Linked DNA regions of Coturnix japonica. The protein of the gene in region 3 purifies or fractionates together with the protein of the main gene of each other region. This does not show direct contact. Links are inferred from orthologs where the notes say so. Each region holds a gene or a part of one and is shown on either strand. Other genes may lie near its edges.

Region 1 (3,649 bases), on a different chromosome or scaffold from region 3:
CAACACTAATGTGTTTGCACTACAACACGCAAACCATGCACAAAGAATATCAGTACTCATCCTGAAATTTAACGTAGTTCACCCCATATCTTGTTATACAACCCAGTCATTCGTTGTTATACAACCCAACCCATTTAATTTAGTAGGTTCCAACGATTCATTTAACCAACAAATCAAACAGCTTTAAGAAAAAGTTTCAAACAAGTTGAAACTTGTCTGGTTTTTTTACTCTTTTCTTACTTACCAGTTTATCATTTTCATTGGGCATTTCAAACACGCATCTCAATTTGGAGTCCATCAACTCATCAGGTTTTGCTTCTTTCCACTAAAACAAGTAACACAGTTATTTAATAAGCCAGTCGCACACAAATCTGAACAGTTCATAAGCCTGCAATTACGGCTTCCCTATAACTCTTACAAAACTGAATACTATCCTTGCCCAGCTGACATTTTCAGACTTGCTTTTGAACACTTTTTGTCCACCTTTGACTACTATAAAAGTATTAAAAGCCAGACATGGCTCAACTTAAGCCTGAAAACGGAATCAAGTCAAGTGAATGTCAAGGCAGATCCAGATATCTGTAGGACACAATCAGACATAGAGCACCATCTGAGTTGGTCTATCAATGCTCATTGCATGTGTTCCTCACATTCTATCCTGGAAGCACCCACTTTAAATAAATTACTGAAAGACACTTTTAGGGATTCTATACTTAGCTCCACAGTAAGTTTCTTTAGTTCTCTTTCATCGTTGGCATTAACTGCACACTAACTCATATCTATTATTACTGATTTTCTGCCAGATTTGTTCCTTGATATTCTTTACTTCAACACACTGAGAAAGCCACTATTCGAAAGGTATTTCTAAAATGGATTTTTATATTCTCACCAAATGCTTGATGCTTCACTTCTCACACATAAACAGGAGCTATCAGAGCATATTAAAATAAGTAAACCAGACAACAAAGAGGAGAGACATTATTTTTGTAGCTGCATGCCTCAAAAGCTTAACAAAAACTTTTCCAGTGTTTTCAGTTCAGAGAAATACCACAATAATCTTTGCCTTCATACATATGGGAAGTGAACCTAAGCCTGCAGAGGCTTAGTGGATTTTAATGATTCATAAACCTTATCTTCACTTTGTTTACCTTCTCCTCCTCTGCCTTCAGTGAGCATGGAACTGCATGAATCACCATGTGAACTCAGGGAAGTGTTTAGAAACAGGGGCCTGTGCATCATTCCCCTGGACTCTGATATATACAAGCTCATGGGAGCCCATGTATACTCTAATGAGCAAGTTCTGCAACTGAAGGACAGCATTCCAATTGCTTCTAAGTTGTCCTTCTGAATTAAGAGGCGCAAAACTAAATATGCTCTTTCTGGATCTTTCATCAGACCAGTCCCACCCAAAAACAGAATACACAACTCATTCTACTAATAAAGAAAATAAATCTATCATTTGAGCTGCATGTAGCCACTTGGTGTCTTTGAGAGAGGCAGAATAATCCTTCAAATGTTTTGGTTCCTTACAATACCATTCAACTTTTCAGATAAACGCTTCTTAGTCCAAATGTACCCATTCCACACAACTTCAGGCTTGCCGCTTGCATATACCCTTGATTCCTTTAAATACAACCTATTTATTCCCTCCCAATGAGCTGCAGACCAGATACTATACAACAGTAACTAAACACTGAACAGACCTTACCTCTGATTTACTAGTACTTTGATTTAAACAGTTCAATAGGCAAATTCTGAGAACTGAGCTTGTATTTAGTATTAAAAACCCTGAATCACTTATGGAAATGGTATTTGTTCAGAGGAAATTCAATTTTCTAAAACCTAAACATTTCAAAATGTGATTCACTTAAAGTTAAGGCTGATTTTAAAGAAACAATCCAAACTAGTCATACTATCCAATTTTTACTTACCACTGCCTCCATATCTGAAATATTTGGTGGTGCATAGATTGTTTGTACCATAAACTTGTGTTTACTCTTCTCGTTTGGGTCATAGTCAAAAGGCTGCAGCATTACTGTTCAAAAGAGTAAAATAAAACATTTAAGAACATGATCAAATCACTCTTAAAAAAAAAAAGAAAAAAGCTATACATCAGATTCTCATTGACCAGACACCAAAAGTAAAGATGTGAAGGGAACATTGAAAACACTGTAGATACACACTGTAGCAATAAGTAATGAGAGGAAACACCTTAACAGTGTAGCTTTAAAGATTCTTTCTCCACCTACTATACAAGAAGACATTTAGGATACAAGTAAAAACAAATACATCCTGTAAGACAAAGAGCAAATAAACACCGTAGGATTTTCCCTTGGAATAAACACTTTGTGACCGAGTGAATGCAAAGGTAAAAGAACTCTGGAATGAGTTCAACAACTTCATGGCATCTACCCAAGGGAGAAAGGGAAGAGAACTTACATTAGGCTAGCCACCAACCAGTAGAAGCTCAACTGACTTCTACAGGCATACTGATCTAAGCTAGGAGCAACTACTAAAATACTTAATTAAAACCAGAAGTATTAAAAGAAGTAATGCTGTCAAGGCCTTTAACAGTTCACTGTAGAGAAGTTTCAAATTCAGTTCTTAAAAGATAAAGTGATTAGTTGAGAATAACTAGAAAACACATTTTATACAGGTTTTGACATTATTATCCTTATGTCCAGCCTAACAGCTAACATTTGCCTAAAAGTACTCATAATCCATGTATGCATTTGAATTCTACATATTACCAGCGGAGAAAGAGGGAATTCAAAACCAAGCTCTCTGTAAAGGCAGCTGCAAGTGAAAGATTAAATACTTAAAATACAGAGTTCGTACTACAATTACCAGAGATAGAATATACAAGGGTTATTTTTGTGACAGGACAATTTCTGAATAACTGCTTTCTGAAGTTGAAAATTCTGTTGGTCAAGAAGGGAAATTCACATTTCAAAGTTGTTATTTTGAAGTATGCACAATTTCAGTGGAAAAATAAATAATATCAACGTAATATTATTCATAATCTCAATTATTACTACACTACTACGGTATTTTTAAAGGAATGCTTCAATTACAGGAGTGCAGAATCTTCATCCATCCAAACTGTACAAAGCCATTAGGAGGCTGCTTTCCTGTTAGTGAAGGTGGTTTTGTTTAGAAAACAGCCCAGAGGGGAAGCCAGGTCACCCTGGTGTCATTATTTTTGTGGTTTCTTTAGTTCAAAGTGACTGAAAATCATGTCTCTAAATTAGACCAGAACATTATAGGATGTAGTTGCCTATCTATAGGAGTAATGGGCACAGTATAAGGAATATCTGAGCATACCAGGTTTGTCATAGTAACACTGTAGGACTACTGAAGTATAAGGATGAATAGATGACCAGCACAGTCTGCCTCCACTGAGCAGACCATGAAAGACAATTAGTCTCAATCCAGACAGGGGTCTAGACAATAAGAACTTTAAGAACTTCCAGCTTTCTACCAGAGGATGATGACCCAGAGCGATCTGTAAAGATAGATTATTTGACAATGCACTTAAACTTGAGTCTCACTGAAATTAAACTCAAGTTTAGCGCATCTTCATGTAAAACTAAGATAAATGCAAGTAATTCAGATAAAATGAATTATGTACTTATGGAGTCCTATGAAC
Region 2 (3,649 bases), on a different chromosome or scaffold from region 3:
TGTGTTTTTAGGTGGAGGCTGCAGGACTGCAGTGCTTTGTTGTTTGTGCTCAGTGGCACCTTAAGAGATGAATTGATATGATAAACTTGTAGAAAAGAAAGCTGCCTCAGGTGATTTTAATCCATCCCTGCTGCAACTGAGAACCTGTCTTGTTTTCTCAAGAGAGCAGGGGGGTGACCATGCGTGTATTTATTATTACTATTAATTATAAAAATGATCATTCACAGTTTTTAAACATTAGGGCTGTCCTGTCTTCAAGGAAAAGAATTGATGGGGTTTTTGTTGTTTCGTTTTCTTTTTCAAGTTTACTTCTATTTCTGAGGATAGGTGAAGGTATTTCATTCAGTTAGCAGGTAACTTCTCTTGTGCAGAAGACAGCTGATCAAAGGGGGTTTACAGTGCTGTAATCTTATTTCTCCGTGATCTGAGTGCAGTCACACAACACCTGCCTCATTTATCCGTGTCTTATAGAAAGTCAGTAATGAGCCTTTCCCCCCACCCAGGGGATTCTGATGATTTCAAGTAGGTATTGAAGCCTATGAGAAGTTACTGCTTGTTGTTTCCAAACTTGACAGTGGTCTGATTCTGGCTTTGCTAATACAGAAATCACTGCCAGTGCTGTCAGCATCCAAGAATTCCCCTCTTTGCGTGTGGTTGTTTCCTGTCTCAGTGAGGCTGGGTTTTTTTTATGAAGATCTCTTCTGATGTATCATTTGTTGTAGCCAGAAGGATTCTTTAAAAACAAGCACATGTGATGCACAGTGGACGCTCATCTTGCTGGTTTTGGCACAGCCTTTCTAAATAGCGGGTGGAAGGCTTCATGGAGGTGCAGTTTATGAGCGTAAGGTAAAGCTTACTGACATTTGTAGGTTTTGATATCCTCCCCTGCTCAGTCTGTACATTGGTGTATATGGCTTCTCTGCAAGCCTGGGTGGTTCAGCAGTTAGAATGGAATAACTGATACAACAGAGAATTTGGCTTCATTTGAATAGCACGTTGTTGTGTTGGTAGTGTGTATAAATGATTCCCCCCTTTTTGTTTGCTATTAATGATGAGCTGTTGTGCTGTGAGCATACAGTCATGCTCAGTGGCCTCCCTACATCCTGCGCTTTGCGTGTGTTGTTATCTGTACGTGCCATAGATGGAAGTTGAACATCTAATTACTTTATAAGATTTGTGAGCAGAGATTTGTAACCTGCTTAGCCTCTACTTGTCGAGTGTTTTCTGATGCAATCTAAAGCCTGCTTTTGCTCTTCCTCAGGTCCATTCACAGATGTTGTCACTACAAACCTGAAACTCGGCAACCCTACAGACAGAAATGTGTGCTTCAAAGTTAAGACCACGGCACCACGTAGATACTGTGTAAGGCCTAACAGTGGAATTATTGATGCAGGAACATCAATTAATGTTTCTGGTAAGTCATACAATCAGTTCTTTAGTGACTGAGGATGGCGTCATCAAATGAATTATTTCTTGGAATGTTTTGCAATACAGAAGTACTGTGTGGAATGCTTGTAAAAGCAGGAGGTTACGATTTCATGGAGGAGCAGCCATTTCATATATATATAAATATATCTTCGCTTCTCTTAGTCCTGCTCTAGCAGTAATGGGTTTGTTTTGACATCTTGTTTTGAGGGAGGGAGGAGGAATATATAAATAATTTATATGGTTCCGTAGCAGCCTTAGCCAGCCTATCCAAGGCAGTGCTGCCGCAGCCCTGCCCTCCCAGTGGGATTATTTTGGTCCGGTTGCTTTTTGCCAGCTTAACTTCCTGAACCAGCTCACTGCAGGATCTAACTAACGAGTGCTTGGACAGGCACAGTCCACATGGGTGGACTGCAGCCACGCTGATTCAGGCTGATAGTTGGTTGCCAGACTACCCAATATAACCAACCAGTTAAGAAAACATTTATTTTGAAACCATGCTTGTTTTGTGTTCCTTGGAGATGTAATATGCTTTGGTGCTAGAAACATCAAGTGACTAAAACTGTGCTATTTCATATGAAAGGTTAATGATTTTCTCTAATGAGTCAGTAGTTCTTCACTTGCCAAAGTTTGGTAATGGAAAAAACAAAGGAGCGGGTTACACTGAAAGCATAAAGGAGTGAGTATTTGTGTAATCTAAAGAACTCTCTCAAAGCATTTCACGGTGGCAGGCTGCAGAAATCAGGTCTGGTTTTTGAGGTACAGGAATGATTTCTGAAGATTTGTTTTTACTACTTTAATTAAATTTTAATGCTGTGTAATAGAAGCAGATGGGTTACTGGCCAATGGGAAGATGATCAGAACAGAAGTTATGTATGGCAAAACACATAACCTGTTAATTAGTCTCCTACCAAGCTACAAGTGTGGATAGTGACAGGACAAAGAGAAATGTTTGCTAGCAAGTAACACGCTTTTTAGAACGTCTTCTTGATCTCAACATCTTTTTTTCTTAAACTTCTGCTTACAGCGACCCTTTGCTCTGCCTTGAGCAGAACATGGGATAGGCAAGTGCTGTGTGAACCTGTATCTGAGGTGCTTTTCCAGCCCCATTCTTCCCAGCAGCATCCCAAACAGAAACCAGACCAAGACGTGACCTGCAGTATCCTGTTGTGAAAGATTGCTGTGCTTACCCTGTTATGCTGCTCTTGCTCACAAAGCTTTGAAAAAACTTGCCTTTTATACGTAACTTTTATTGTAGAATTTGTGGCTTATGATTCAGTTTTGCAAATGATTTTGGAATATTTAATCACAGAGCTTACATTTTTTGTTTTACTTACTTACATGATTCTCTTTACTTAGTCATGGTAATAAACTTTGCTAAATTACCAGCCCTTCTATTAACATTATGTATTAAATGCAAGCAGTTCGCATACATTGTCCTTCAGGTGACACATTAAGGTAGATTTATGGGTAGATATGTTGCAGAATTCTGGAGTTACGGATGTTAATTCTTCATTTTCTAACCCATTCTGAATAGAAGCTGCTGTCAGCTCGTTTTGTGGTTGAATTTCTATTGAAACTCTTGAGCTAATTGGGCAGTGTTTACTCCTTGTAGTCTGTTCTCTTGAGAACTGCTGACTGACTTTAACACAGTAGCACTGACAGAGCACCTCCAGCCTGCAAAGAATGGTCGGTGCCAAAGTACAATGATGTGAATTTGTTTCTTGGAGTATTACTGACAGTTGGGTTCAGGGCAGCCTTGTCTTCCTTGCACCATAGCAGCTGAGTGCCTTTCTTACATGCAGTTCCACAGGCGTGTCCTATTTTGGTTGAAGTTCACGAGAAGGTGTTCTGTCCTTAGAGGCTGCTCTCAGAACATTATTTCATGCCAGGTCTTGGCTCGTTTCGCACACATAAAATGCTAGAAAAGCAAAGCTTTCTTTATTCTACTGCAGTGTTGGATACTGGCTTCTTTTGCCCTATCACAGCTGCTCCTAAATACCAGCATTTAAGTCTCAGTTAGCATGCACTGCTTGCTGCAAAGTCAGGTTTGTAGCCCATGTTTTCACCTGTTATATAATGGTGTGTAATTTTAACAGCTGAGTTTATGTAACTGTCAGGAAGTGTATGTGTGCTGTCACCCTGTTTGATTGCGTTTGGTTGTAAGTACTTGGCAAAGAAGGCTGTTTGCACCCATTCTGTTTTTGTTACACGTGTCTTATTT
Region 3 (4,381 bases):
AAAACGTTTAAGTAAGCTGCCTGCTTTCCCTCAGAAGGCTTGTGCAGGAGGGCTCATTAAAGAGCAGTTTTCTGCATCATGATATTCTAATGATGGAGGTCATTAACTCGCTGCCAGCCACAAGGGGATTAGCAACACCTCTCCTCAGTAGGGCTGCAACTACATCGAGAGTGTCTTTGACTAAAGTTGAAACACTTTTCCAATAGCTTTGATACTATCCTTACTATCTTCCCTTTAGTTAGTGATAATTCCAAGCTAGAAAGAAACAACACCCTAGCTAATTATTCAGACTACCACCCAATGAAGATGTCACCTAGCTCCAAATCTCCTTCAACTGTACATATTGAGACATGAGAACAATATTTTTTCATATGCTGTTAAGCATCTGATCAAGACACGAGATTGTTCAATGTTGCTACACATTAAACAGCACAAGACAATTGTTTAATAACACTTCCTCCAAAAGGTAGCGAGAGCTATTCTAGAAATCAGCAGGCAAACAACTACGTTCAGTTCTAGGTAAAGTTATAAGTATTCTATGAGTCATCAGCTCACCTTATTGCTCCCTAACTCTTCAGTATACAAGATTAACATAGCCTACAGTTCATGAAAGTAGCCTAACCCCGTATCCTCTGTTTAAATACGGGTTTCAGGTAAGCCTATAGAATTTAAAACAAATTGTTTCTCTGATTTAGCTACCATTGTACTACTGTAAAGACAGAATCCAGCAACGCAGAACATGCCCTAAATGTCTTCCAAAGCCATTGGACTGGCAGTGAGTAAACCAAGCATAGTTTAATAAAGTAACAGCTCCAACAAGTTAATGAGTAACCACAGCAGGTAATACAGGAACAAAACAAAGTGAAAACAAATACCCTGCAGAGTTGAAAAAGAGATACCTATTAGTCTTGTACTTAGGCTAGTTTTACAATGATGACATGGAATCACAGAATGACTCTGGTTGGAAAAGACCTTAAAAGATCAAGTCATACCATGACCTAACCATACTACCCTAACAGCCCTCCACTAAATCATGTCCCTGAGCACGACACCTGAGCAGTTTTTAAACACATCCAGGGATGGTGACTCAACCACCTCCTTGTGGAGACTATTCCAATGCTTAACAGCCCTTTATGTAAAGAAGTGTTTCCTAGTATCCAATCTAAACTTCCCCTGGCACAACTTGAGGCCATTTCCCCTCATTCCATCACCAGTGAGAAGAGACCAACCCCACTCTCACTGTAAGTACTTTTCAGGTATTGGAGGAGAGCAATAAGGTCTCTCCTCAGCCTCCTCTTCCCCAGACTGAAGCCCCAGCTCCTTCAGTCGCTCATCGCAGTCACCTTATCATCATCACCTTACATCATAGTAAGGAAAAAGCAGCTTAATATGGAAGTTTATATGAGAACAAACCCACTGTAACATGAGGGAAAGCAACTACAAAGTGTTACTAAGGTCAATAGATAAGAAACATCCAGAGATAAAAGAAAGCACAAAACCTACAAGGAAAGGCAAAAACCTCCATCCGTAATATTATCTGTACTTCACATCTGTACAGGCACAGGAGTTTATATCAGTCAGAGGATGATTCCCATGGGTAAAGTTCAGGAACTCAACACGAGGAAAACAAACAGACCCATACACCTGTTACATTTCCTTCTTATAACTACCCTGAATTTATTATGTGATTTGTAAAGATACAGTCTACTTCTGACTGGAGTAATAAGTTGTTACAAAGCAAATGAACAAGAAAAAGCATTACAGAACAGTTGAGTCACACTGCCTAAAACACTGGGAATACAGAGTACTTGTCATAGTTGTAAAACATGACCAGCACTGGAAGAAATACCTAATAACTCCTTACTCCCTAACCTTCAGTGAGCACACAGGTTGTCTGGATGGCTCCAAGCTCTAATCAGTGCTTATCTTTAAATACCATTCAGATAAAGCAAAGATGGCAGAGGAAAATGAATGGGGATAAGCAGGGAATAGAAACCTACAAGGTCTTTGCCATTCAACTTCTCAGCTTTGCAAGCACATTCAGAATCCCCAACTGACTGTACCGAGCATCTAAACTTTGTTGGTTATCTTCCAGAGTTTCTTACTATCTCCATCAATCCCTTAGCTAGTAAACTAAACTTGTGTCAGATTTCAGCTGTGGTTAGCTAAGCTATGCTTAGGCCAGACTATGAAAATGGACGTTCTCTTCACATCTGCTTCATAGAATCATTTAGGTTGGAAAAGACCTTTAAGATGAACTAGTCCAACCGTGCCCACTAAGCCGTGTCCCTCAGTGCCACATCCACACGGTTTCTGAACATCTCCAGGGACAGAGACTGTATCACCTCCCTGGGCAGCCGTGCCACTGCCTCGCCACATCTTTTAAGAAGAAATATTCCTAATACCCAACCTGAAGTCGTGCTGGATCCCTGCAGAATATCCAACAGATATTGCAGCCTAGTTCATGAGAATCTCGGCTCTTAATATCAGTGCACGCTGCCCTTCATCTGACTAAGAGCAGCCTCTCACTCGGCGCACCGAAGGACACAAGCCAGAACTCCTCAAGGCACAGGCAGCAGCAGCCTCACACCCCAAGCTCACCCCGCAGCATCTCCAGCCCTGCCGCTGCCTGGAGGTCACCCGAGCCCCCCTCACCTGGAGGAGCACAGCCAGCAGGACGCACAGATACACCTGGTACGGCCCCATCTGCCCCACCAGCGGGAACGCCTCTTCCACCTCCATCCCGCCGCGTCGCGCATCCCCGGCCCGGGGCGGGCAGCGGAGCGGGCCCTCACCCCGTAGGAATGGGAAGGAGGAGGCGAGGGAAGCGGAAAGGAAGCGGCGACACAACGCTGTTAGGAGGGATGGCGCATGCGTTCATGGAGGGGGGGTGGGCGGGAAGGGAGGCTCGGCTACTCCACAGGGTGCCATTGGATGACAGGGAGGATTGGGGAGGGAACGAGTGAGGAGCAATGCGGGATAGGTTCAAAGAAGGGCAGCAAGGCTTGTGAAGGGCTTGGAGGAATCTGCCCTATGAGGAGTGACTGGGGCTGTTCAGTCTGGGGAAGAGGAGGCTGAGGAGAAACCTGGGATACCTCAGAACAAGAGAAATGGACATATCAATGTGGACCTTTTGGAGCACATCCAGAGGAAGGGCACAAAAATGATCCAAGGGATGGAACACCTCTCCTGTGAGGACAGATTGAGAGGCTGTTCAGCCTGGAGAAGGCTCTGGGGAGATCTGAGATAAGCCTTTCAGTATTTAAAACAGGCTACAAGAAAGAAGGGGACAGACTCTTTTCTCAGAATCTGTTGTGATAGGACAGGGGAAATGGTTTCAAATTAAAAGAGGAGAGACTTAAGCTGGTTATAGAGAAGTGTTTTACAATAAGGGTAACAAAGCACTGGAACAGGTTGTCCAGAGAGGTGGTGAATGCCCCAACCCTGGCAACATTCAAGGTTAGGCTGAATGGGGCTGTGAGCAACCTGATCTGTCTGTAGGTGTCCCTGTTCGTTGCAGGGAAGTTGGGCTAGTTGACTGTTAAAGGACTCTTCCAACTCAAATGACTCTATGATGCTGTATAGTTGGAATAATATAAGTATAGTTGAAATTACAGAGTAAACAGATAGCAAGAGGGTATCTAAGGAAAGACTCACCAGTGCTGAGGCCTTCAGTTGCAATGGATGCTCAACAATGTTGAGGCTCATCACAAAAACTCCAGAGAGGAGCAATCTCCAGAAAGAGATGACACCTTAGTGATGGTCAGCCCTTAAATGGAGAGGAGAGGTGGAGTCAAGCTCCATCCCTTCTGGGAGCAAAGCTGAATTACCTTCACCTGTGCTCCTGCAGCTGACCCATCACTTGCCTCAGATGGTTAATCAGAGGTTCAGGCTGTGACCAACAGTTTCCCTTACAGATGCCTTAACTATGCAATGTTCTGTAATTATACTCCATAGCACACTTGCTGAGTGTTGGAAAAAGTAAAAAGAACACAAAGAGATTTGGCAGGAGAATATTATGTGTGTTCCACTAGAGTTTGGTTCTGACCCTACCAAATTCATGCAGAGTGGCCATGAACTTTTCACGGTCCATTTTCATTGTACTTTCATAATAAAACTCCAGAACATGAACAAACTGTGATGTTGAGACTATTTTTTCCTAGTGGGACCAAGCATCAGCAGCAGTGCCACTCGTGCCTGTCATGTTTTTGTTGTATGAACAACAGCTGGAAAAAAAAGGAAGAGAGCTGCATTGTGAGATGTGACCTTTAGGCCTATGCCATGAGTCTGGGAAATAATATCATTTCCTTACTATAAAAATCTTGGCAAATTGACAAGCATCAAAGCAATTTACTCTTAATATGAAATTCACCTTTGCCAT

The links.
Region 1: the proteins of SLC22A15 (region 3) and VAPA purify together in Homo sapiens (co-immunoprecipitation; 3 studies listed by BioGRID and IntAct, with this or other methods). This does not show direct contact. The link is inferred for Coturnix japonica from reciprocal best matches to the Homo sapiens genes SLC22A15 and VAPA.
Region 2: the proteins of SLC22A15 (region 3) and VAPB purify together in Homo sapiens (co-immunoprecipitation; 3 studies listed by BioGRID and IntAct, with this or other methods). This does not show direct contact. The link is inferred for Coturnix japonica from reciprocal best matches to the Homo sapiens genes SLC22A15 and VAPB.

What each region holds. Positions count from the first base shown.
Region 1 is NC_029517.1:88,627,451-88,631,099, forward strand, and holds part of VAPA (vesicle-associated membrane protein-associated protein A), read right to left. Parts: intron 2,036-3,649; coding exon 1,932-2,035; intron 326-1,931; coding exon 245-325; intron 1-244. UniProt on the Homo sapiens protein: Endoplasmic reticulum (ER)-anchored protein that mediates the formation of contact sites between the ER and endosomes via interaction with FFAT motif-containing proteins such as STARD3 or WDR44.
Region 2 is NC_029535.1:10,109,503-10,113,151, reverse strand, and holds part of VAPB (vesicle-associated membrane protein-associated protein B/C), read left to right. Parts: intron 1-1,261; coding exon 1,262-1,414; intron 1,415-3,649. UniProt on the Homo sapiens protein: Endoplasmic reticulum (ER)-anchored protein that mediates the formation of contact sites between the ER and endosomes via interaction with FFAT motif-containing proteins such as STARD3 or WDR44.
Region 3 is NC_029516.1:71,983,549-71,987,929, forward strand, and holds the start of SLC22A15 (solute carrier family 22 member 15), read right to left. Parts: upstream 2,868-4,381; 5' UTR 2,743-2,867; coding exon 2,656-2,742; intron 1-2,655. UniProt on the Homo sapiens protein: Organic zwitterion/cation transporter with apparent specificity for amino acids and their derivatives. Has low affinity for its substrates and may regulate their flux across the plasma membrane at high substrate concentrations.